Oryctolagus cuniculus: one gene and its partners. The main gene of each other region encodes a partner of the protein of the gene in region 2 in a complex. Links are inferred from orthologs where the notes say so. Each region holds a gene or a part of one and is shown on either strand. Other genes may lie near its edges.

Region 1 (6,990 bases), on a different chromosome or scaffold from region 2:
AAAACTATGCACAGATTTAATTTCTTTTGCACCAAGTTAAACTTACTTTTTAAAATATTTACTTATCTACTTGAGAGAGAGAATGAGCATGAGAGCACTCCTACCCTCTGGTTCACTCCCCAAGTGCCCAGCAGTGAGGCTGATCCTGGGAGCCAGGAAGTCAAACCAGGTCTTCCATGTGGGTGGCAGGAAACCCATTACTTGAGCCATCACCCTGCCTCCTGGGGGTCTGCATTAACAGGAAGCTCAAGGCAGGAGCCAGAGCTGGAAACTGAACCTAGGCACCTGCTAGGTACCCTGACAACTGGCTTAACCACTAAGCCAAACAGCTGTCCCTAAACTCACCTTTTCATTTTTCCACAAACTTTTGGAAACACCCTCAGTGCTAACCATCATGTGCATTTCAGGCATTTTGGGTGGTCTAAAATACATGTTAACTCTGTTTCCAACACAGCACTTCTAAAATACATTCTATCAGTATGGTAAACAAAAGCAACATCCTGGGGCCTGATATTGTGACAAAGTAGGTTAATCATCTGCCTGCAACTTTGTTAAGCATCCACCTGCAGCAACGGCATCCCATATGGGTGCCAGTTCGAGTCCTTGTTGTTCCACTTTTCATCTAGCTCTCTGCTGTGGGCTGGGAAAGCAGAAGATGGCCCAAGTCCTTGGGCCCCTGCACTCGTACAGGAGACCAGGAAGAAGCTCCTGGTTCTTGGCTTTGGATGGGCACGGCTCCAGCCATTGCAGCCATTTGGGGAGTGAACCAGAGGATTGAAGAGTTTTCTCTCTCTCTCTGCCTTTCTGTAACTCTACCTTTCAAATAAATAAATCTTTTCTTTAAAATATTTTTAAAAGATTTTTATTTGAGGCCGGCGCCGCGGCTCAATAGGCTAATCCTCCACCTAGCGGCGCCGGCACACCGGGTTCTAGTCCCGGTCGGGGCGCCGGATTCTGTCCCGGTTGCCCCTCTTCCAGGCCAGCTCTCTGCTGTGGCCCAGGAAGGCAGTGGAGGATGGCCCAAGTCCTTGGGCCCTGCACCCCATGGGAGACCAGGAGGAGCGCCTGGCTCCTGCCATCGGATCGGAGCGGTGCGCAGGCCGCAGCGTGCCGGCCATGGCGGCCATTGGAGGGTGAACCAACGGCAAAGGAAGACCTTTCTCTCTGTCTCTCTCTCACTGTCCACTCTGCCTGTCAAAAAAAAAAAAAAAAGATTTTTATTTGAGTCAGAGTTACAGAGAGGCAGAGGCAGAGAGAGAGATACACAGAGGCAGAAAGAGAGAGAGAGAGAGACAGAGGTCTTCCATCTGCTGGTTCACTCCCCAGATGGCCACAATGGCCAGAGCTGCGCTGATCCAAAACCAGGAGCCAGGAGCTTCTTTCCAGTCTCCCACACGGGTGCAGGGGCCCAAGGACTTGGGCCATCTTCCACTATTTTCCCAGGCCTCAGCAGAGAGCTGGATTGGAAATGGAACAGGCTGCACTTGAACCAGCCCATTTGGGAAGCCGGCACTGCAGATGGCAGCTTTACCCGCTACACCACAGCACCAGCCCCAAATGAGTAAGTCGAAAAAAACAACAACATCCTGGACTTGACACATAGCCTATTAAATACTATGCATTTACCTCCATGTGATTCGTGGAGGCCCGAAATTTGCATCAGTGTTGTGTATTGTTAAGAATGAAATATGCATCTTTTCAACCTCCCCCTCCCCCCACAAACACACACATTGCATGGTTTGCAAAAGGAATGGACATCAGGAATCCTTGCCATGCCACGGCTTAGAGCACAGAAGGTCCACGCTGAGTGTTTAGTGTCCATATCAATGAAAAAAGGGCCTATCAGGCTTGATACATGATACGCCCATCTGCTCTTAGCTCTCTTACCAGGCTCCAGATGTTTGAGGATGCCTCTCTTAGCCAAGCGAGTCTGCAGCGCGACGGGCAGCGGCATAGCGGGTGACAGATCTGGGGACAGACAGACTGATGAGGATTCAAATCTGGATCCCATAACCCAGAGCTCATCCCTCCCGTAGCATGTACTCATCGGACTCTCACCTTCCCAAATACACCAGGAGCTAGCTGGGCGGACTCAACCTATGCGCTAAAACACGAGAGACAAGAGGCTTGCAAATGTCACAAAACTCCTTCCAGCCGCTCACTTACTAGGCCCGGAGCTCCAGGATCCACTTCCTCTCCCGGGCTCCACCCACCGCCAAAGGCGCCAAGCGCAGCTTCAGAAACTGGCTCACCCAACCTCCCTCAAAGACTGCTGGGTGGGAAAAACCAAAGCCCTGGGGTGGGGGAGCGGAATGCAGCCCTTCCTCCAGCTCTGCAAAACCATGCCCCCCTCCCCCTCCCCGCGTTACCAGTACAGTCGGGCAGGTAGAAAGAACAGCCTCCTTCCTCTCGCCACTGCTCTGATCACCAGGACCACACCACTCGTTTCCCCCAAAGCACACAACGGCGTACTCAATACCCGAGCCAAGACGTAACTGGAAGACGCTGGGACTGCAGTGGAAAGATGACGTTATCCTGGGTGTCCAATGAGAAGCGTCCTGCGTTTGACGTGGCGAAGCCACCCAATCGCTGTCCTGGGATAGGCGAAGAGCTAGAGCGCCTGTGGTGCGTTTCCACTGGGGGCGTGGCCCACAGGATTCGGGCCTGACTGTGCCTCCAGACGCCGGCGCCATGGAGGAGTATGCTCGGGAGCCTTGGTACGGCGATGGGCACAGGCATCGGGACTGTTGCTGCCCCAAGACCAGCCATGGGAGGCGGGCGGGGGAGGCACCGGCCGCACAGTGCGGCGTCCCAGATTAGGGAGACTTAGAATCTTCTCGCCTTCCGCTCCCTGTACTTCCTTCCTTTCGGGGTTCTTTAAAAGGGGCCACAACTGTGTGCCCAGAGAAGGGGCGGTACAGGACGAACCACGCCATGTTGTCCCTGGCTTTGTGGCTCCTGTTCCTCTTTGTTAGCGAGCAGAGACGCTGGTCCAGTCCATTCCAGCGTGGGTGGAGGGTGGCACGCATGGTTTTTCCCAGGTCGCTTGTGTGAATCGGGGCGGGGCATGCGTGAACCTATTGTGGGTGAGGAGGGGTGCTGGATTTTCCCAACGGGCCTCTGGGTTTTTCTCAGTTGTGCTTGGTTTAAGAGGAGGAGGGGACAAGGCTTGGTTGGATGCCACTGTCCCAGAAGGGGCTGTCACCTCGTTTTTAATAACTAGCCAGTTAACACTTCCGTAACCCTTACTGAAATGCGCCAACTCTACATGCCTCAGTTCATTTAATATTTGCTAGTAAAGTAATTGGCTGATTCCTTGGATGCCTGCAAAAGGTGATCAAGGCAGAGACTATTATTTTTCCCCTTTTGCCCCATTTCTCGATTTCATCAGGGAAAAAGAATGACAGAACTAGCTCGTTGTTATCTGAAGTGTTTCTTCTCACTCACAAACTTGCCATTCCAGTGACTGGTTTCTCCCACTTGGAGAGAGTCCAGGGAGGGGAGGGGCTCCCATTAACCCCAACCTTCCCTTCCGGTTTTTCAGCCCATGGCGAATTGTGGATGATTGCGGTGGAGCCTTCACCATGGGTGTCATCGGCGGCGGAGTCTTCCAGGCCATCAAGGGTTTCCGCAACGCCCCTGTTGTGAGTCCTGGCCCACCGGGTGGTGTGGGGGTCAGCAGCCTTGCCCACATAGGACGCTACTCTAAAAGCTGCTTGGAGCTGCCAGGCCAATGCACTTAACTTCTTCTGGTCCCTATTCACCTACTATGTGCCAGACCTGGCTCCTGGACCTGGGGAACTGCAGATGTGACCTCTTGTCCCCTTCCCCCACCCAGCTGGACCTCCTCGGTGGAAATGTGCTGTAAAAACATTCTTCCCCAGTCCCGAGTGTGTGTGTGTGTGTGTGTGTGTGTGTGCAAAACCAAATAGATTTTAGAGGCAGATGCTGGGTCTTCAACCTGGATGGAGTGAAGTGACAGAAGGAGGACAGCCTTAAAGTTGAGAAAATCATTTTAATTTAACATACTTCGGTTTATTTCCCTGACTCCCCTCCCCGCCAAAAAACAAAATGTCATCAAATGTCATGGCTTTATGTATCACCATTTGTCATGATCTCTTGATTTATTTGAGAGCCAGAGGGGCCAGGAGAGAGCACAAACGAGCAAGAGAGCACACTCCCGGGCCGGCGCCGCGGCTCAATAGGCTAATCCTCCGCCTAGCGGCGCCGGCACACCGGGTTCTAGTCCCGGTCGGGGCGCCGGATTCTGTCCCGGTTGCCCCTCTTCCAGGCCAGCCCTCTGCTGTGGCCAGGGAGTGCAGTGGAGGATGGCCCAGGTGCTTGGGCCCTGCACCCCATGGGAGACCAGGAAAAGCACCTGGCTTCTGGCTCCTGCCATCGGATCAGCGCGGTGCGCCGGCTGCAGCGCGCCGGCCGCGGCGGCCATTGGAGGGTGAACCAACGGCAAAGGAAGACCTTTCTCTCTGTCTCTCTCTCTCACTGTCCACTCTGCCTGTCAAAAAATAAAAAAAAATAAAAAAAATAAAAAAAAAAGAGAGCACACTCCCCAAATGTCCACAACAGCCTGGGCCAAAGCCAGGAGCCAGGTACTCAATCCAGCTCTCTCAGATGGATAGCAGGAGCCTAATGACTTGAGCCATCACCTGCTACCTTCCAGGGTCTGAATTCACAGGGAGCTGGACTCAGGAATTGGGGCTGGAAGGCATTTATGTTAAGCTGCTGCTTTTGACACCAGCATCCCATAGCAGAGCTCTGGTTCAAGTCCCACCTGATCTGCTTCTGATTCAGCTCCCTGCTAATGCGCTTGGGAGGGCCATAGAAGATGGCCCAGGTATTTGGGTCCCTGCCACCCACATGGGAGAGACTCAGATGGAGTTCCTGGCTCCTGGCTTCAGCCATTTGGGGAGTGAACCAGCAGGTGGAAGACCCCTTTTTCTGTTTTTCCCCCTCTCTCTGTCCCACTGCCTTTCAAATAAATAAAATAAATCTTAAAAACAGGAACTAGTGGTGGGGATCAAGCCCAAGCACTCCAATATGGGATGTGGGTGCTTTAACCAATAGGCCAAATGCTTGCCCCAGTCTGTAATTTTTAAACAAATGTTTTATTTATTTCCCTCTACTTGAAAGGCAGAGTGATAGAAAGAGAGAGCGCCCATGCGCTGGTTTACTCTTCAACTGCCCACCACAGCCAGGACTGGACTAGGCTGAAGCCAGGAGCCCGGAATTCCATCTGGGTTTCCCATGTGGCTGACAGGGGCACAGGCACTTGAATCATCATCTACTGCCTCCCAAGATGTATTAGCCGGAAGTTGTTTAGGAAACAGAGCAGCCTGGACCTGAACTGGCACTCACATATGTGATGTTGGTATCCAAAGCAGGGCCTTAAGCCACTGCACCACAAGGTCCAGTCCTCTGCAGTTTTTATATGTAGCTCTGTCCCTCCTCTCAACTCCTGGAACTCCCTTTCCCAGATCTTTGTGTTTCTCATCGTCACAATTTCAGCACAAATGTCCCCTTTGTGAAGAGGCCTTTCCTGTCCCTCAGCCATGATCACTTCTCTTAACCTGTCTCCTCGGAGTGCATATTGCTGCCCGCATCTGTCTTGTTTGTGTGTACTCTTGCTCAGGATCTGCCTTCCACTGATGTAAGCTTTGGGAGGACAGAGCCCGGATCTACCCCATTCGCTGCTGTATCCCTGCTTGTAACATAGTGCCTGGCACATAGTAGATGCCCATTAGTCATTCATTAAATGAATGAGCCAACAAATGAATGAATGAACACTTACCAACCCAGCTCCAAGGATACTCATGTTGGGGTGCTCACCAGGCCCCTAGTTCTTTGCTGCTTCTCAGTATTAAACAGATCTCCCATTCCCTACATTCTCTTAAAAACTAGAAGCCCTGTCTACTAGTGGCCGGGACCCTGCCCTGACTCCCTTCCTTACTTTCCCCAGGGAATGCGGCACCGGTTGAGAGGTAGTATCAACGCGGTGAGGATCCGAGCCCCCCAGATTGGAGGTGAGGGGCTTGGGGAGACACAGGACATGTGATGGCAAAGGTGGGGGTAAGGTGATCCTTTAGGACTAGACTACAAGTTGGGGGTCCAGATTGTAGCCCTAGCTCTGCCTGAGACTTCCCAGGTGGGTGGCATTTTCCAACAACTGAATACCGAGGGGACAAGAATCATTTCTAGAGTTCAAATCCAGGTCCTGTGTTACTTTTAGTTTAGAGGTGGTTATGCTAAGCACTTTAATATTCTTTTATTAAAGATTTATTTTATTTATTTGAAAGAGTTACAGAGTGAGGTGGAGACACACACACAGAGAGAGAGAGAGAGAGAGAGAGAGGTTTTCCATCCACTGGTTCACTCCCTAAATGGCCGCAATGGCTGGAGCTGAGCCCATCCAAAGCCAGGAGCTAGGAGCTTCTGGGTCTCCTACATGGGTGCAGGGGCCCAAGCATTTGGGCCATCTTCCACTGCTTTCCCAGGCCTTAGCAGAGAGCTGGATTGGAAGTGGAGCAGCCGAGACTCGAACTGGCACCCATATGGGATGCCAGTGCTGCAGACCAGGACTTTAACCTGCCTTGCCACAGCATTGGCCCCGAGCTTTAATATTCTTAACTAATTCTAAATTGCTGAAGTCAAGTATCTCGAATAGTTCCTGGCACTTGATGAGCCCTCAGTAACCATTTTAACTATAAGCATAATGAGTATCAGTATTCAAACTGCAAGGAACCAGAAATGTTGCAGTTTGGGAATTTTTTTAATCTAACTTTTTAACAGATATATAAAAATAGTGTCTGCTTGTGGAGAACCATGTGATCTTATATATTTTTTTAAGATTTATTTTATTTTTTTGAAACACAGGGCTACAGAGAGAGAGAGAGAGGGAGAAGCAGAGACAGAGGGAGAGACATCTTCCATCTGCTGGTTCACTCCCTAAATGGCTGCAATGGCCAGGACTGGGCC
Region 2 (7,211 bases):
GTTCCAGACACGAACGAAAAACAGCGTCCAAACCTCACGCTCCCCCCCTCGCCCCCATTCCCAGAGTCTATGGACAGGTGAAGGCTTAGAGGCTCTGCCCCGCCTGGAGCAGGCTTGGGCAGCCACCAGGAGGCGGACCTGGGCAGAACCACAGGCAGGGTGGAGGTCAGGCTCAGAGCCGGTCCCTCGTCTCTGACAGGGCCCCTGCACCCAGAGGCCCACCCGCAACCCGCACACAGCACCTTCACATGGTGCCCATCCATGTATCGTGTGGCATCCCGGAACAGGCGGTAGGAGATGAAGCCGTGGGGGTCCACGCTGTCGATGAGCGGGAATGCAGTCTGCAGGGTGGGAGACAGAGGTCAGGTTGGGCCCTGGCCCGGGGCACCCTGCCCCAGCCACACTGGCCGCACAGCCTGGGCCCCAGCCTCACCATGCCGGTCTCTGACGTGAAGATGACGATCTCATACAGAGGGGCGAGCTGCTGGAACAGCGTCTCGATGCCCGGGCGCTTCTTAAACCTCCAGCCTGTGGCCAGCTGGGGAGACAGAGGACGGTGAACTACTGACACTCAGGGGCCCCAGGGGACAAGGACCCAGCTCCTGGGGGTCAGGGCGGGGGCCCAGAACGAGAGCGGACTCCTTCGCGGCCCTACTGTGTGCTGAGGCATGCCAAAGAACCCCCTCAGAGTGGGTAGTGAGGACGGCGAGGCAGGGGGACGTGCCACCTCCTCTCCGAGGTAACACAGGAGGCCCACAGCATCATAACCCACTGCCCAGGGGTAGCCCCCAACCTGCTGCCTTCCCCAGGACACACCGACCACTCAGGGTGCAAGAGGACACCAGTGAGCTCCAGGACGAGCGTGTAGGGCGGCTGGTAGTACGGCTCCCGTAGGGGGTCTGGCAGGAGGCAGGGGCTGGTGGGCTCGATGATCATCTGTGGCACAGGGGCGGGACGGGAGCTCAGCCAAGGAGGCCCGGGCCGGAGGTGCAGGGACGGGGGCTGGGTCCGGAGCCCCTGCTCACCTGTCTGTAGTCCTTGAAATATTTGTAGGTCCGGCGCAACTGCTGTACCAGAATCGGATCTAGGACACCAGGCACAAGGGTTCCGGGATAAGCCGCTGCTCACCCTCCAGACAGAGTGCGTTCACGAGCGGTCTGATCCTGACTCCCTGGTGTGAACTGGCTCAGCCCCGAGCCCAGAGGTGGAAGCAGCGCGCACTGTCAGGTGAGGGTGGAGGTTTCGCCTGGACACTCCCGACCACACGATGCCGGGCCGCCGGGAACACGCACGCAAATCTGCGGACAGCACGCCAGCACACCCGGCCTATTCTGGGCGAGCAGGCGCCGTGTCTGCCCACTTTGAGCCACGGTGCTGAGTCTAAGTACGCCACACAATACATACGGACAATGGGTATTTGAAACCACCGGTTCTCAACTGGCAACGATTTTGCCTCTCCCTTTCCCTGGGAAACCAGGCAACCTCTGGAGACACTTCTGGCTGTCAGACGCTGGCATCCGGTGGGGGGATGCTAGATACCCTCCCCAGCTACACGGGCAGCAAAGCATCATCTGGCCCCGGGGCCACCAGGGCTGAGGGTGCACAATCTGTTCTAAATAAACACGCTGAGTCGTTTGAGAGGCAGAGAGAGAGAGAGAGAGAGAGAGAGAGAGCGAGAGAGCGAGAGAGAGAGAGAGAGAGAGAGGTATCTTCCATCAGCTGGTTCACTCCTCAAATGGCTCTACCAACCAGGGCTGGGCCAGGCTGAAGCCAGGAACCAGGCATTCCATTGAGGTCTCCCACACGAGTAGAAGGGGCCCAAACAGGTGGGCAGATGAGCCATCAGCGCTGCTTTCCAGGTGCATTGGCAGACAGCTGGCTAGAATCAGCACTCTGACACAGGACACAGGTGGGCGGTCCACGTGGCAGCTGAACCCAGGGCCCCAGAGCCCACCTGCAGCTGAACCCAGGGCCCCAGAGCCCACCTGCAGCAGCTCACAACCACAAACTCCTGTGACTGTCTCCCATGACTTTAAAACAGGATGCAGGTATTTCAAAGTTGGTGGAAAAAATTAAAAGGTAGTTTTGGTGTAAAAACAACTGAACACACGCATAGTTTTCTCACAATACACACCTTCTGTGAAGGCGGGGAGGTACCTGCAGGGCTTCACAGCTCTCCCGATGCGCCTGTCTCAACAATACTATAGCACAGAGGCTCGTGTTTGATACAGAGTCAGGACGCCAACGGGGGTCCCCCATTCCACTCAGCGGGATCTGGGCTCAAGTCCCAGCTCTGCTCCTGAGTTCTACTTCCTGTGCATGTGCCCTGAGAGCTGCAGATGATGGCTCAAGTCCTCGGGTCCCTGCCGCGTAAGAGACCTGGACTGAGCTCCAGGCCCCTGGCTTCAGCCTGGCCCAGCCCCAGCTGTTGCAGATATTTGAGGAGTGAACCAGTGGATGGGAGATCTGTGTCTTTCAAATAAATAATAAATTTTTCTTTAATCACATTATTAAAACCAGCTAAGGCAGTACACATAAACATGATGTTTATCTGCCCAGGAACCAAATGAAATGCCTGTTGATTTGTTCCAGTCAGGATGGTCCTACACCTGCCCAGTTAAAACAGCACATCTGCCCGCTTGCCCAGTTTAATTAGTGCAGTACCGTGCCTGTGTGCAAACTCGCCCAGCAGAGGCCAAGTGGCCTTCTGAAGGCACCAATGTCAGCCTCTCCCGGGCAGGGCTGGGTGGAACAACACTCTGCAATCTGGCAGAACAAACTCCATCCAAAGCCGGGTTGAATGGGGGTAAACTCAGAGGCCGCCACAGAGAGGGGCAGGTGCTCAGACCGAAGGCAGCAGACGCCGTGTCTGTGGATAAGCAGCCTGGTGTCCCCAGGCCCTGCCACCGGGCTCCCCTCCCCCACCTGGCTCTGACCATCTGCTCTCTGAGGGCTAGGTCTCTGTGATGCCCCTCCCAGAAAAGCATCGAGCTGCTGGCTCCCCTCCCCCAGCGCAAGGAGGAGCTGGGGGCACCAGATGGGCAGAGCTGGCTGCGTCAGGGACTCAGTCTCTGCTTGTTGACTCACCATTGTCGAACTCATCAGGAATCTGGGAAGCAGAGAGAAAATGCAAAGTTTGGGGTGGCAGAGGCAGACCCCACCACCACCCAGCAAAGCGATCTCCAGGGCCTGATTCCAGGTAGGGAGGGGCTTGCCCTAGACCCAAAAGGAGCCAGAGCGGACCCAAAGGAGGCCCTGACACCCACCCACAGGCTGGGACTCCTGGCAAGGCCTCTGGTCTCTTTCCACTCACCTTGGCACCGTTTTCATCCACAGGGTTGTTTCCTGCAAGGGAGACAGGAGTGAGGGAGAGGAGCTGGGCGCTGCCTCCTGGGTCTTGGAGGAGATGGGGGACAGGGGGCATAAGTGCACCAGAGACACGGCCTCCTGGGTTGGGGGGGACGGAGCCCCCTGGTGTCTGAGCGATGACTGTGCTGGACTGTGGCTGCAGGGAGGAGACACAGCCCAGGAGGCTGGTCCAGGCCTTCCCCACCTCCCCTCTTCCAGTGGCTCCCCACAGCCTCGTACAGGAGCCGACCAGTTAGAGTAGAACCTTACACAGGGGTGAGAGAGACGAAAGGAGACCCCCGATTTCCAAAGCAGGTTTCCTACTTGGTGGCCCTGTGCAGGGAAGCGCCCGGGAGTGAAGATGAGTGGCCCAGGGGCGGCCCCAGGGGAACAGAGAACTGGGGGGCCGGGGCGTCTCACCGAAGATGTAGACGATGCTCACGGTCCCGCCGGCCCCAAGCAGCCCAGCAAGCCAGAGCGCGACTTTCTTGGCATAGCTGGGACCCTCGGAGCCCGGCGGCTGCTGCTGCTGTGGTCCCGGGGCCTTGGCTCCCCCGCGGCTCCCAATTTCCGCAGCAGCCTGTGGTGGAGAAGGGGGTGAGGCCCTGCGGCGCGGAGGGCGCTTAGCCTGTCCCGCGGAAGGAGCCCGGGGCGCGGGGGCTGGCGGGCCGTGGGTGTCAGGAGCGCCGCGGGCCCCACACACGGGGCGTTGGGCCGGGAGGTCAAGGCGTCCGGACGCCCAGAGGGGCGGGGGCGGGCAGGGGCGATCGCTTGTCTGGGGGTTGGGAAAGTGGCGCAAGGAGGCCACGGACTTGGAGGTCAGAATGGCTGGGTCCCGTCAGCACGGAGGCGGGTCGAACTGGACGCCTGACGTCCAGCTCACCTGCCCCACGCCCGAGGCGGACAAGAAAACCTCAAGGCCAGGCTGGGGCTCTCCCGCAACTAGCGCCGGAGTGGTCCCCGAGGTAGGGAGCAGGCGACCCTCCGCCCCCGGCGCCCACGTGGCTGAGAGCGGAGGTGCAGAGGGTGCACTCGGGCCCCAGCATCCGGCCGGAGGAGAGCGCAGCGTTCGCTCCGGGAGGCACGGAGCCGGCCCGAAGGGCGGGCAGTGTTCCATTCAGCACCCTGAGGTGCGGCATCCCAGAGCCACTGGGCGGCAGCTCCCTGTCTAAAACTCCAAGGCGCGGCCGCCGCGCCCGCAGCGCCTGGCCTGTCCCGCTCACCTGGTCTGGGGCCCCGGGGGGCGGCGTCGCCAACCGCGTGCACAGCCCCCGCGCGCCGAGCCGGAGCCCGCTCCGCAAGCGCGAGAACAGCGCCGCCGAGGCCGCCATCTTGCGCTGACGCCACGAGGCCCCGCCCAGTCTCCCCGCTCTGCCCGCCCCGACCTGGGCCTGCGGCCAATCGGGGCACAGAGGAGGGACGGGCGGACGGGAGCCCGAGAGACCCAAAAGGCCTTGGGCGGACTGCCGCCGGCGCGCTCGCTCCTGACCAGTGTCCTGGCTGTCCTCGGGGCCCGTCAGCCGGGATATGGCCACCTAGCTCCAGTCCTGGGGAGCACCACTGGTACTGAAACTGGACGTGGCAGGGGCAGGGGTCACACTCACGGCTACCCGATTTGCCCCCAAAAACTGATAAGGAATCAGCTCATCTCGGCCCCTGGGGGGTTCTGCCTTCACCTCCTAATTGCCCTAAGTGAAACCAGCAGCGGGCGTGTAGCCTAGCGGTTAGGGCGCCCAGCGTCCCACACCGTATCACCTGGGTCTGATACCCGGCTCCAGGGCCGACTCCACGGGAGACCGGGGCTGAGCGCCCGGCAGGTGGGGCGAGCCAGCAGGTGGCGCTGTCCCCGTGTCAAATGAAGGGAAGGAGGCTCGGGACCCAGGCAGTTCTCTCCACTGCTCCTCCTCCTGCCGAGCGGGGCTTGGACGCTGCTCTCCTCGCCTTTCCCTAGGTCTTTCCTCCGTGGGGAAGCTGAGGCTTGGGTAAGAACTGACCCCACTTACAAACAAGGCCAGGCTCAGGCATCCGGCGCTGGGCGGGCATCCCATACGGGCGCCGGTTCGAGTCCCGGCTGCTCCACTTCCAACCCAGCTCCCTGCTATGGCCTGGGAAAGCAGCAGAAGATGGCCCAAGTCCTTGGGCCCCTGCACCCACGTGGGAGACCCAGGAGGCTCCTGGCTCCTGATCAGCTCAGTTCCAGCCGTTGTGGCCATTTGGGGAGTGAACCAGTGGATGGAAGATCTCTGTTATCTACCCCTCAAATAAATAAATTAAATTTTAAAAAAGACCAGGCTCAGCACTTTTGACCAAACAGCTTTTTATTGAAAGATCGTAACTCAAAAGCAAGCCGGGGGCTGGGGTACAAGAAAGTGGGGCCCCTCCTCCGGACTCTACTCTGATTCCTAGGAGCATGGGGGGGAGGTGACCCAGAGAGGACACCAAGGCAGTCCAGGCCGGCCAGCCCGGCCACTCTGCCTGCGCCTCGGCCCCAGGCACGCCTCAGGCCTCCAGCAGCTTCCCCAGGAAGCGGAGGTTGAGGATCTTGAGCTGCTCGTCCAGGTCCATGCGGACGATGCCGTCCTCACCGTCAATGCTCAGCAGCACTCCCGTGGCTTCCCGGTCCTCTCCCAGGATCACCTTCACCTGCGGGAGGCAGTCAGAGTCAGGGCCCCGCGTCCTCCACCCCCCACCCTCGGCCCCCGCCCCTCGGCCCCCGGCCTCACCTTGTTGTTCTTGGTGGGGGTGATGGGCTCCAGGTGCTCGCTGGAGATGCTGACCACCTTCTCACTGTCCTTCAGGTACACGGAGCACATGCCTCCCTGCAGGGGCACAGCCTGCTCAGCTGCCCTGTCCAGCACAGGACTGAGCCCGCATTCAGGCTCACTCGCAACACGCAAGTCACTTTCCCAAGATGACTCGGCGGCAGCAAAGGCCAGGCTGGGCCAGCTTCCGGGGCCTGGGTCTATGCAGCAGTAGGGGGTGCCCGGATCAGCGGGGAAGCACCAGATGCAGCCGTTTCAGGCCAGAAGGGGGCAGCTTCTCGGACTCGTGCCCCACGGCCCCAGCTCTGGCCGGCTTCTTCCCCCACGTGCTCCTTTTCCTAGGCCCTGGTTTCAGGGGCAGCCCCACAGTCCCCAGTCCTTAACCTGACCTCTGGACATCATGTGGTCACTTCCCTGACAACCCTGAGCTTTGAGGTCTGTCCACTCAGCCTCCTGGGGGTCTCTTCCACCTGTCTCCCTCCTCTTCATGGCTCTCCTGGGAACAGCGGAGCCTCCTGGACTCCCAGCCCCTGATTCCACCATGCCCACCCAGTACACTCCTGATAGAGCAACACATAAAGGACTCCAGACCACAGATCTCATCCCATCTCCCTACTTAGTCTTCCATGGCTCCCCAGGGTCCTCTGCACAGTCCAAGATCCTCGAGCCAGAGGTGGCTCAACCACTTCTCAGCCTCATCACTCACCCTCCTGTTGACCGATATGGTCCAGCTATAATATACACACTTCACCCCAACACATGGAGGCCTGGCCTCGGCTCCCGGCCCTCACACACACAACTCCCACTATGTGGCGCACCACGAGCCCCTCCCTGGCCATTCTGCTTGCCTTACTCCTGTTCACTCTCCAGGTCCTGCCTCAGAGGCCATCTTCTCCAGGAAACCTTCCCTGGGCTGCCTACCCCAGTTCTGCCCACTCTGGGCCGTCTTCCCCAGGGGACAGCGAGGGCTGTTGGGGAGGCCTACAGCTACTGTGGTCTCTGGTACTGGTTTAATTAATACTGACTAGAGGCCAACAAGGTGTTGGTCCTCACCTAGGCAGGAAGTGGGGTGCCTGAGGAGTAAGACACGGGCTCTCTAAC
Region 3 (7,305 bases), on a different chromosome or scaffold from region 2:
CAGATCTCTCTCTGTCTCCTTCTCTCACTGTAACTCTGCCTTCCAAATCAATAAATAAATCTTAGAACACACATACACACATACACGCACACAGAAAAGGATCACTTCAACTCTGGGCCTCCCTCAATTTGTTCATCTGGAAAATGGAGATAACAACACTAAGAACTTCTGCTGCTGTAAAGATTAAATATAATAATGCTGGAAAACACTTAGCACAGTGCTTAGCAATTGTAAGCACTCATAAATTGTAGCTATTAGAAAAATGTTTTTTTTTTTTAAAAAGAGAAAGTTATTCTGATCCACAAAATTTTGCAGGAATGACTGAAGTAGTAGGCCTTTTCCTTGTCTCAAATACAATCTATTCAATCTGACCACTGCATATGTTTGTAAGTGAATATAATCTGTCACCTTCCTTATCCCAGGTAATGAATAATTAAGTTCAAACTTGAGCTTGAAGCACATTGTCCTCCTTCTGGAGAAAGGTGGGGGGAGGGGAGGATCACTGTCTAACACATTGAGACAAGATTATCAAATGGATACAGTAATTACAGTTAACCTTCCAAATAAAACATAAATCAAGAAGAACCTCCAGGGATATTAGTTTGTGACAAGCTGTTAAACCAAACAGGTTTTAATTTAAAAAGAAAAACACTGCTCCATCTTCAAATAAACAGGGAAGGCACATTTTGTAGTACAAATGGAAGAAATCCCGCTCACCTCCCAGCTGTGGAGCCCTGGTTTTAATGGCTGTCAGACTCCCTCGTAGTCTGTGATTTACTCCCTATAAAAAAAGGAAGCAACCAAGGATACATCAGAAGTTTACCGGACGACGTCACCAGTAATATTACCAAACCCAGGTTTCAAGTGATGATAAAATAAAACCATTTGCCCACTTACCACTGGAGAATTGCGAAAACCTTTGATTGCTTGAAAGATACCACCACCTATGGTACCCATTGTAAAGGCCCCACCACAGTCATCCACAATTCGCCAGGGGCTGAGGACAGGGGAAAAAAAAGATGACTGTATTTTTCACAAACCATAAAACCTTGTTTGCTAACACAGAAGGATGCAACAGATTCCAATACAGAGCACATTGCAACTGATAAACATTTGGCCTAAAAAACAAGGACTCTGAGGACGTCCACAGCTATTCAGCCCCAAGTCAGCTAGGCTGGAAGGAACAGAATTAACATTAACCTCCTACTCTTACCAGCACTTTATTTAAACAAACATCAAGATGGGGTAAGCTCTTTGGTAGCTATAAACTTTAAGGCTAAGACTTAATGAAGAGGGTCGGTGCTGTGGCGTAATGGGTAAAGCCACTGCCTGCATCTGGCATCCCATATGGGTGCCAATTCGAGTCCTGGCTGCTGCACTTCCGATCCAGCTCTCTGCTATGGCCTGGGAAAGTGGTGGAAGATGGCCCAAGTCCCTGGGCCTCTGCACCCAGGTGGGAGACCTGGAAGAAGCTCCTAGCTCCTGGCTTCAGATCAGCCCAGCTCTGGCTGTTGCAGCCATCTGGAGAGTGAACTAGCGGATGGAAGACCTTTCTCTCCCTCTCTGTAGCTCTGCTTTTCAAATAAATAAATCTTTAAAAAATTTTTTTTCTTCTCTCTGTAGCTATTGATTCTTCATTAAGTCTATTTATTTATTTATTTGACAGGCCATAGCAGAGAGCTGGATAGGAAGTGGAGCAACCGGGACTCAAACCAGCACCCATATGGGATGCCAGCACTGCAGGCGTCAGCTTTACCCGCTACGCCACAGTGCCAGCCCGAGAAGGAAATTTTTAAAGTTCTGAAAGTTGATGCTAATGTCCAGGTTTAGTGAATCCAAGTAAGCACCTGAACCTTTCATTTGTATCAGATCCAGTTAGCACACTGAACCACTCTTAACAACCAGCTCCAAATGTAGCCTAAATAGTTATGTAATGTACCAAGATCTCAGGAATTTGATCAGACTAGAACCACTACCCTAGGAATATGGTCTATAAGAATCTGCTAAATTCATTTTCAACCCACTGTATGTAAATTTCTTTTATGCAGTCAAGTGCTTTACAATGCATAGAAAACCATAACTTCCAAGAAAGCTAGATTTCTTTCCTACAGAATCACTGATCTTTTAACTCTGAAAAAAGAGTATTTGTCTCCTCTCCATTTTACAGATGAACAGACGCTCCGAGATTAAACAACTTGTCAGAAGTCATGTAGGCAGTACCTAGGAGAACCAACTTAACTAAAATACAGTTCTCCCGAGCCCCCAAGCTCTTCTCACTTCATCACGCAGCCTGTGTGTTCTAGGAAAATGAAGTCTTGAGGATCATTAAAGCCACATGATTTATCATATGGTGCTGGAGGTAAGGAAAGCAATTAGGAAGCTATTGTAAAAGGCATTAAGGGCATCAGGTAAAATCCTGGTCAGAGGAACCGAAAGAAAGAATTTTTCAAAGACTACAGACTGCACATACTGGGGCTGGGGCTGGGGGGTTCTTCTAGTTCTGAGCTCGATGACTTGAGGAAGTGCCAAGGGCAATCAGATCAAAGCAGGGGCTTGAACTGTGGCTCAGCGGGGCAGGCTAAGCGGAGGCTTTTCAGGGCACTGGTTCAAGTTCCAGCTGCTCTGCTTCTGATCCAGCTCCCCACCAATGTGCCTGGGAAAGCAGCAGATGATGGCCAAAGGGCTTGGGATTCCTGTGAGGGGCCAGGCTGGAGTTCCTGGCTCCTGGCTCAGCCCGGCTCAGCCCTGGCTGTTGTGGCCAACTGGGGAAAGAACCAGCACGTGCAAGATCCCTCTGAAGCTCTGCTTTTCAAACAAACAAGTAAACCTTTCAGAAAAGATGAGAGCAGCTTTGACTACTAACTAACTGGGTAACTACCGCACTGCTCCAGGACGTATGCACCAAGGGAAAGCACAGGGGCTGCCTGATGATCTGGTAAAGGAAACCCATCGTTCTTTATGATATCTAACTCAGCAATGTCAAATCTTCTATCTCCCTGCCAACCTGCGCTCTGCAGCACATCCAACAGCAGTTCGCGGTGTGCTGAGGTCTGCGCATCTGAGCAGGATTTAGGAGGCTTTTTTTTTTTTTTTTTTTTTTGACAGGCAGAGTGGACAGTGAGAGAGAGAGACAGAGAGAAAGGTCTTCCTTTGCCGTTGGTTCACCGTCCAATGGCCACCGCGGCCGGCGCACCGCGCTGATCGGAAGGCAGGAGCCAGGTGCTTATCCTGGTCTCCCATGGGGTGCAGGACCCAAGCACCTGGGCCATCCTCCACTGCATTCCCTGGCCACAGCAGAGAGCTGGCCTGGAAGAGGGGCAACCGGGACAGAATCCGGCGCCCCGACCGGGACTAGAACCCGGTGTGCCGGCGCCGCAAGGCGGAGGATTAGCCTAGTGAGCCGCGGCGCCGGCTTAGGAGGCCTTTGAAGAGAGCAGGAGGGGCTGCATCGTCTTATACATGGGGTGGGGGGCGGCATGAAGCAGACCACAGGGCTACCAGGTAGTCATTTAAAGGCCCGGGCACTTCCACAGCTTGAGGACACCTTGGTTCCAGCCCTCACACAGTAAACAGGTGCCTAACCCAAACACCAAGAGTGATTCCTCACCTAGGCCCTCAAAGAACAAGGTGAGGCTCTGACAGCGGTTCCACGCTCCATAATTACGGTTTCTGCTGACTTAGTTAAGCTTCTGTTCCCTGAACCTACCCGAGCGCCAGCGCAGAACCTGCACCCGATGAACGCTGAATTAATGAACGAGTCTCTGCTCATGGCTGTCCAGAGCACACACGCTTTTTCTATTTTCCGAATAATCTTGTGAAGCCCACCCCCTTCCCCACGGGAGAATTCCAAGCAAGAAATCGAGGCTCTGTCCTACTGAAGCTCATCCCAACACCTTGCGTAACGCCCGTCTGCAAGGCCCCAGAACGGCACTGGTTCGAGGCTTATCTCCTCCCTAGCAGAGGGACGTGCCCAAGGTCACCTCGGCGGGCACAGGAGACTGCTACTGGCCCCACACGAGGTCCACTGCGCCCTGCGTTGGGAGGACGTTCTGAGGCCCTGTCAAGCCCAAGCCTGGACCTCCTCCCCACCCACGGCCAGGTCCCAGGCGCTGGGTCGGGTGCGGCGAGGCTCACGCGGCCGGGGACCGGGAAGCCGACGGGCCGTTCGAGTCCCGACTGCCCATGTCCAGAAGCCCGCGGCGGAGTTCGGCAGGCACCCTGGGAGGCTGTAAAAGGGAGAACGAGGGCCGTGGGCAGGGCGTAAAGAGAGGCAAGGGCAGCGGAAAAGACTCACCAAGGCTCCCGAGCGTACTCCTCCATCTTGACTCCAGTGGCGCGAGAGATGCCGGGCAAACTGGGTGGAGCCTGACCCCTGCGGCGGAAGTGATCCCGAGAGGGGGCGTTAAGGTCTATGAGGATTGGTTCGCGGTTTCCCGCCGCAGCCAATGGGAGCGGGGAAGAATGTGGGCGGGGCGGGGCCCTTGTCGTGGCCGCTCTGGCCCCGCCCAAGTCCTCGAAGGCGGCGGGTTCGCGCCCTGTGGGCGGGGAGCTAGCGAGTGACGGAGTTCTTATTACAGCAGTCACCCGAGGTGCCTTGGCCTGAGGTAAACCTGGTGTTACTCCGCTAGGGTTCACCGTTTCTCCGTTTCGGCACTTGTGCTGTGAACTCTGAACCCCTGGATGGGGAGGTCCTGCTACCGCACGCCGCGCCTCCAGGGCAGCCAGCGCCTCGGTCCTTTGTAGTGCGAGCTGCAGGTGCGGGTGGCGCCCTCGACCTGCGGGACAAGGCTCCCCTCCCGTGGGCCCAGCCCCGTGGTTCGGGCAGCTCGCCTGCATTCTGCGCTTCTGCAGTCGACGTGAGAGCCCCCTGGAAGCTTGGGGGTGAGGCAGGGAGGCGAACCCAGCGCCGCAGAGCTGGCGGTTACCAGCAACGCGGGGACAACCTCGTCGGCCGCATGGCCTGTTGGAACGCGTGCGCGTAATTGAGAACGCTCTGATGAATGGTGCAGGCCGAAGAGAGGCTGTGGGAGAGGGGTAGCATGGAAGCCCAGAGCGGGAATGCGTGTGCAGCCAGCCCCCCAGGCCCCGTGGGCGTGAGGCCCTGCGCAGAGGGCCGGGGATGTTTTTCCTGGTCTCACCAGGGCCCCCAGGCCCCGTGGGCGTGAGCCCCTGCGCGGGGGCCGGGGATGTTTTTCCTGGTCTCACCAGGCCCATCCTTTAGCTTGCTACCTGCCTGAGCGCTTATTCCATATTCATTACCCAGTCCTCTGGTTGTCTGGCTCTGACCAGATTTCCATATAAAAGAGCAAGCCCTTGGCGGTGCTGCTAGCTGTTCTTGTTCCTTGGTGGGCAGTGTTGGTTTATGTACCTGTGCTTGTTGTATTTTTCTAAAGCCTAAAAAAAGTATTCATTTGTGTGAAAAGCAGAGAGAGAGAGAGAGAGAGAGAGAGAGAGAGAGAGAATCTTCCATCTGCAGCAACAGTGGAGCTGGGTCAGGCCACAGCCAGGATCCAGGTACTTGAGCCATCATCGGCTGCCTCCCAGGATGGTTGTTAGCAGGAAGCTGGACTCGGGGGAATAGCTGGGACTGAAACTCAGAGAGTGATGTGGGATACAGGTATCCCAAGTGGAATCAACCACTGTGCCAAACACCTGCCCTTAAAATTAATTTTTTGAAATTTCATTTTCTTTTACTTATTTGCAAGGCAGAGAGCCAGAGCGCTCTCCCGGTTGCACTGTGATATGGGTGCAGGTGTCCTAAGCGGTGGCTGAAGTGACCGCACCACAGCACTGTCCTGAGTTTATTTCCTTTGACTCAGTAATCAGGGATGGCCGCAGATCTCCAGAGGGACGCGGCCAATCAGATGCTGGGTAGCTCTGTGTTATGAGTGTTATGAGGCATTGGCTCCCCGCTTTGCGAAGTTTGAGAAGTCCCGTGAGCGGTCTCTGCAAGCTGGAGACCCAGCGGTAGAATTCAGGCCAAGACCAAAGGCCCGGGGCCCAGGGAAGCCCACGATATCAGGGCACATCCTCCTTCCTCAGCCATTTATCCCACTCGGGCCCTCGGTGGATTGCCTGCTGCTCCGGTCCACTGGGAAGGGCAGTCTGTCCTCCTGAGTCCACTGTTCTCGGCCAGAGACCCTCAGAAACACCCCTGGCAAGAGCACGTGATCTGGGCACCCCACGGCCCATGCGGACACATCAGTCGGTAACCTGCACAGGGAAGAGACCGAGTTTCAGAGTTCACAAGCAGAGGTCCGGACACGAGCACTGGTCCCCGCTCCTGGGTCCTCACAGCCCCTGTCCTGAAGGACCTCGCTCTTCTGGGAGGCCTTGCTCCAGAGGCCAGCGAGCGGCCTCAGACATCTCACTCTGGGCTCACTTTCCACTGGAACAACTCTCTCTCTCTCCCTCTCAAATGAACAAATACTTTTTTTTTTTTTTTTTTTTTTTGACAGGCAGAGTGGACAGTGAGAGAGAGAGACAGAGAGAAAGGTCTTCCTTTGCCGTTGGTTCACCCTCCAATGGCTGCCGCGGCTGGCGCGCTGCGGCCGGCGCACCGCGCTGATCCGATGGCAGGAGCCAGGAGCCAGGTGCTTTTCCTGGTCTCCCATGGGGTGCAGGGCCCAAGCACCTGGGCCATCCTCCACTGCACTCCCTGGCCACAGCAGAGGGCTGGCCTGGAAGAGGGGCAATCGGGACAGAATCCAGCGCCCCGACCGGGACTAGAACCCGGTGTGCCGGCGCCGCAAGGCGGAGGATTAGCCTAGTGAGCCGCAGCGCCGGCCCAAATACTTTTTTTAAAAATTTATCTCTTTAAGAGGTAGAGAGAGAGGTCTTCCATCTGCTGGTTCATTCCCCAAATGGCCACAATAGCCGGAGCTGGGCTGATCCAAAACCAGGAGTCAGGAGCTTCTTCTAGGTCTCCCACATGAGTTCAGGGGCCCAAGCACTTGGGCCATTCTCCACTGTTTTCCCAGACCGTAGCAGAGAGCTGGATCGGAAGAGGAACAGCAGGGTCTTGAACCAGTGCCTGTATGCAGCCGCTTTACCCACTACACCACCACACTGGCCCCTGAATAGATATTTTTTTAAATATTTATTTATTTATTTGAAAGTCAGAGCTACACAGAGAGAGAAGGAAAGCCAGAGAGAGAGAGAGAGAGAGGTCTTCCATCCACTGGTTCACTCCCCAATTGGCTACAACAGCCAGGACTGTACTTATCTGAAGCCAGGAGCCAGGAGCCCCTTCTGGGTTTCCCACACGGGTACAGGGGCCCAAGCACTTGGGCCATCCTCCACTGC

What was found.
Region 1: TIMM50 (region 2) and TIMM17B share a complex: the UniProt entries of both Homo sapiens proteins name them as parts of the TIM23 complex. The link is inferred for Oryctolagus cuniculus from reciprocal best matches to the Homo sapiens genes TIMM50 and TIMM17B.
Region 3: TIMM50 (region 2) and TIMM17A share a complex: the UniProt entries of both Homo sapiens proteins name them as parts of the TIM23 complex. The link is inferred for Oryctolagus cuniculus from reciprocal best matches to the Homo sapiens genes TIMM50 and TIMM17A.

What each region holds. Positions count from the first base shown.
Region 1 is NC_091453.1:34,070,348-34,077,337, reverse strand, and holds the start of TIMM17B (mitochondrial import inner membrane translocase subunit Tim17-B), read left to right. Parts: upstream 1-2,553; 5' UTR 2,554-2,691; coding exon 2,692-2,717; intron 2,718-3,544; coding exon 3,545-3,644; intron 3,645-5,974; coding exon 5,975-6,038; intron 6,039-6,990. Other genes in the region: PQBP1 (polyglutamine-binding protein 1), read right to left, coding at 1,888-1,954. UniProt on the Homo sapiens protein: Essential component of the TIM23 complex, a complex that mediates the translocation of transit peptide-containing proteins across the mitochondrial inner membrane.
Region 2 is NC_091449.1:15,487,741-15,494,951, forward strand, and holds the start of TIMM50 (mitochondrial import inner membrane translocase subunit TIM50), read right to left. Parts: upstream 4,728-7,211; 5' UTR 4,680-4,727; coding exon 4,572-4,679; intron 3,929-4,571; coding exon 3,769-3,928; intron 3,346-3,768; coding exon 3,314-3,345; intron 3,110-3,313; coding exon 3,088-3,109; intron 1,085-3,087; coding exon 1,026-1,084; intron 937-1,025; coding exon 817-936; intron 539-816; coding exon 434-538; intron 342-433; coding exon 243-341; intron 1-242. Other genes in the region: SUPT5H (transcription elongation factor SPT5), read right to left, coding at 5,848-5,991, 6,072-6,167. UniProt on the Homo sapiens protein: Essential component of the TIM23 complex, a complex that mediates the translocation of transit peptide-containing proteins across the mitochondrial inner membrane. Has some phosphatase activity in vitro; however such activity may not be relevant in vivo.
Region 3 is NC_091444.1:17,856,819-17,864,123, reverse strand, and holds the start of TIMM17A (mitochondrial import inner membrane translocase subunit Tim17-A), read right to left. Parts: upstream 4,373-7,305; 5' UTR 4,321-4,372; coding exon 4,295-4,320; intron 998-4,294; coding exon 898-997; intron 782-897; coding exon 718-781; intron 1-717. UniProt on the Homo sapiens protein: Essential component of the TIM23 complex, a complex that mediates the translocation of transit peptide-containing proteins across the mitochondrial inner membrane.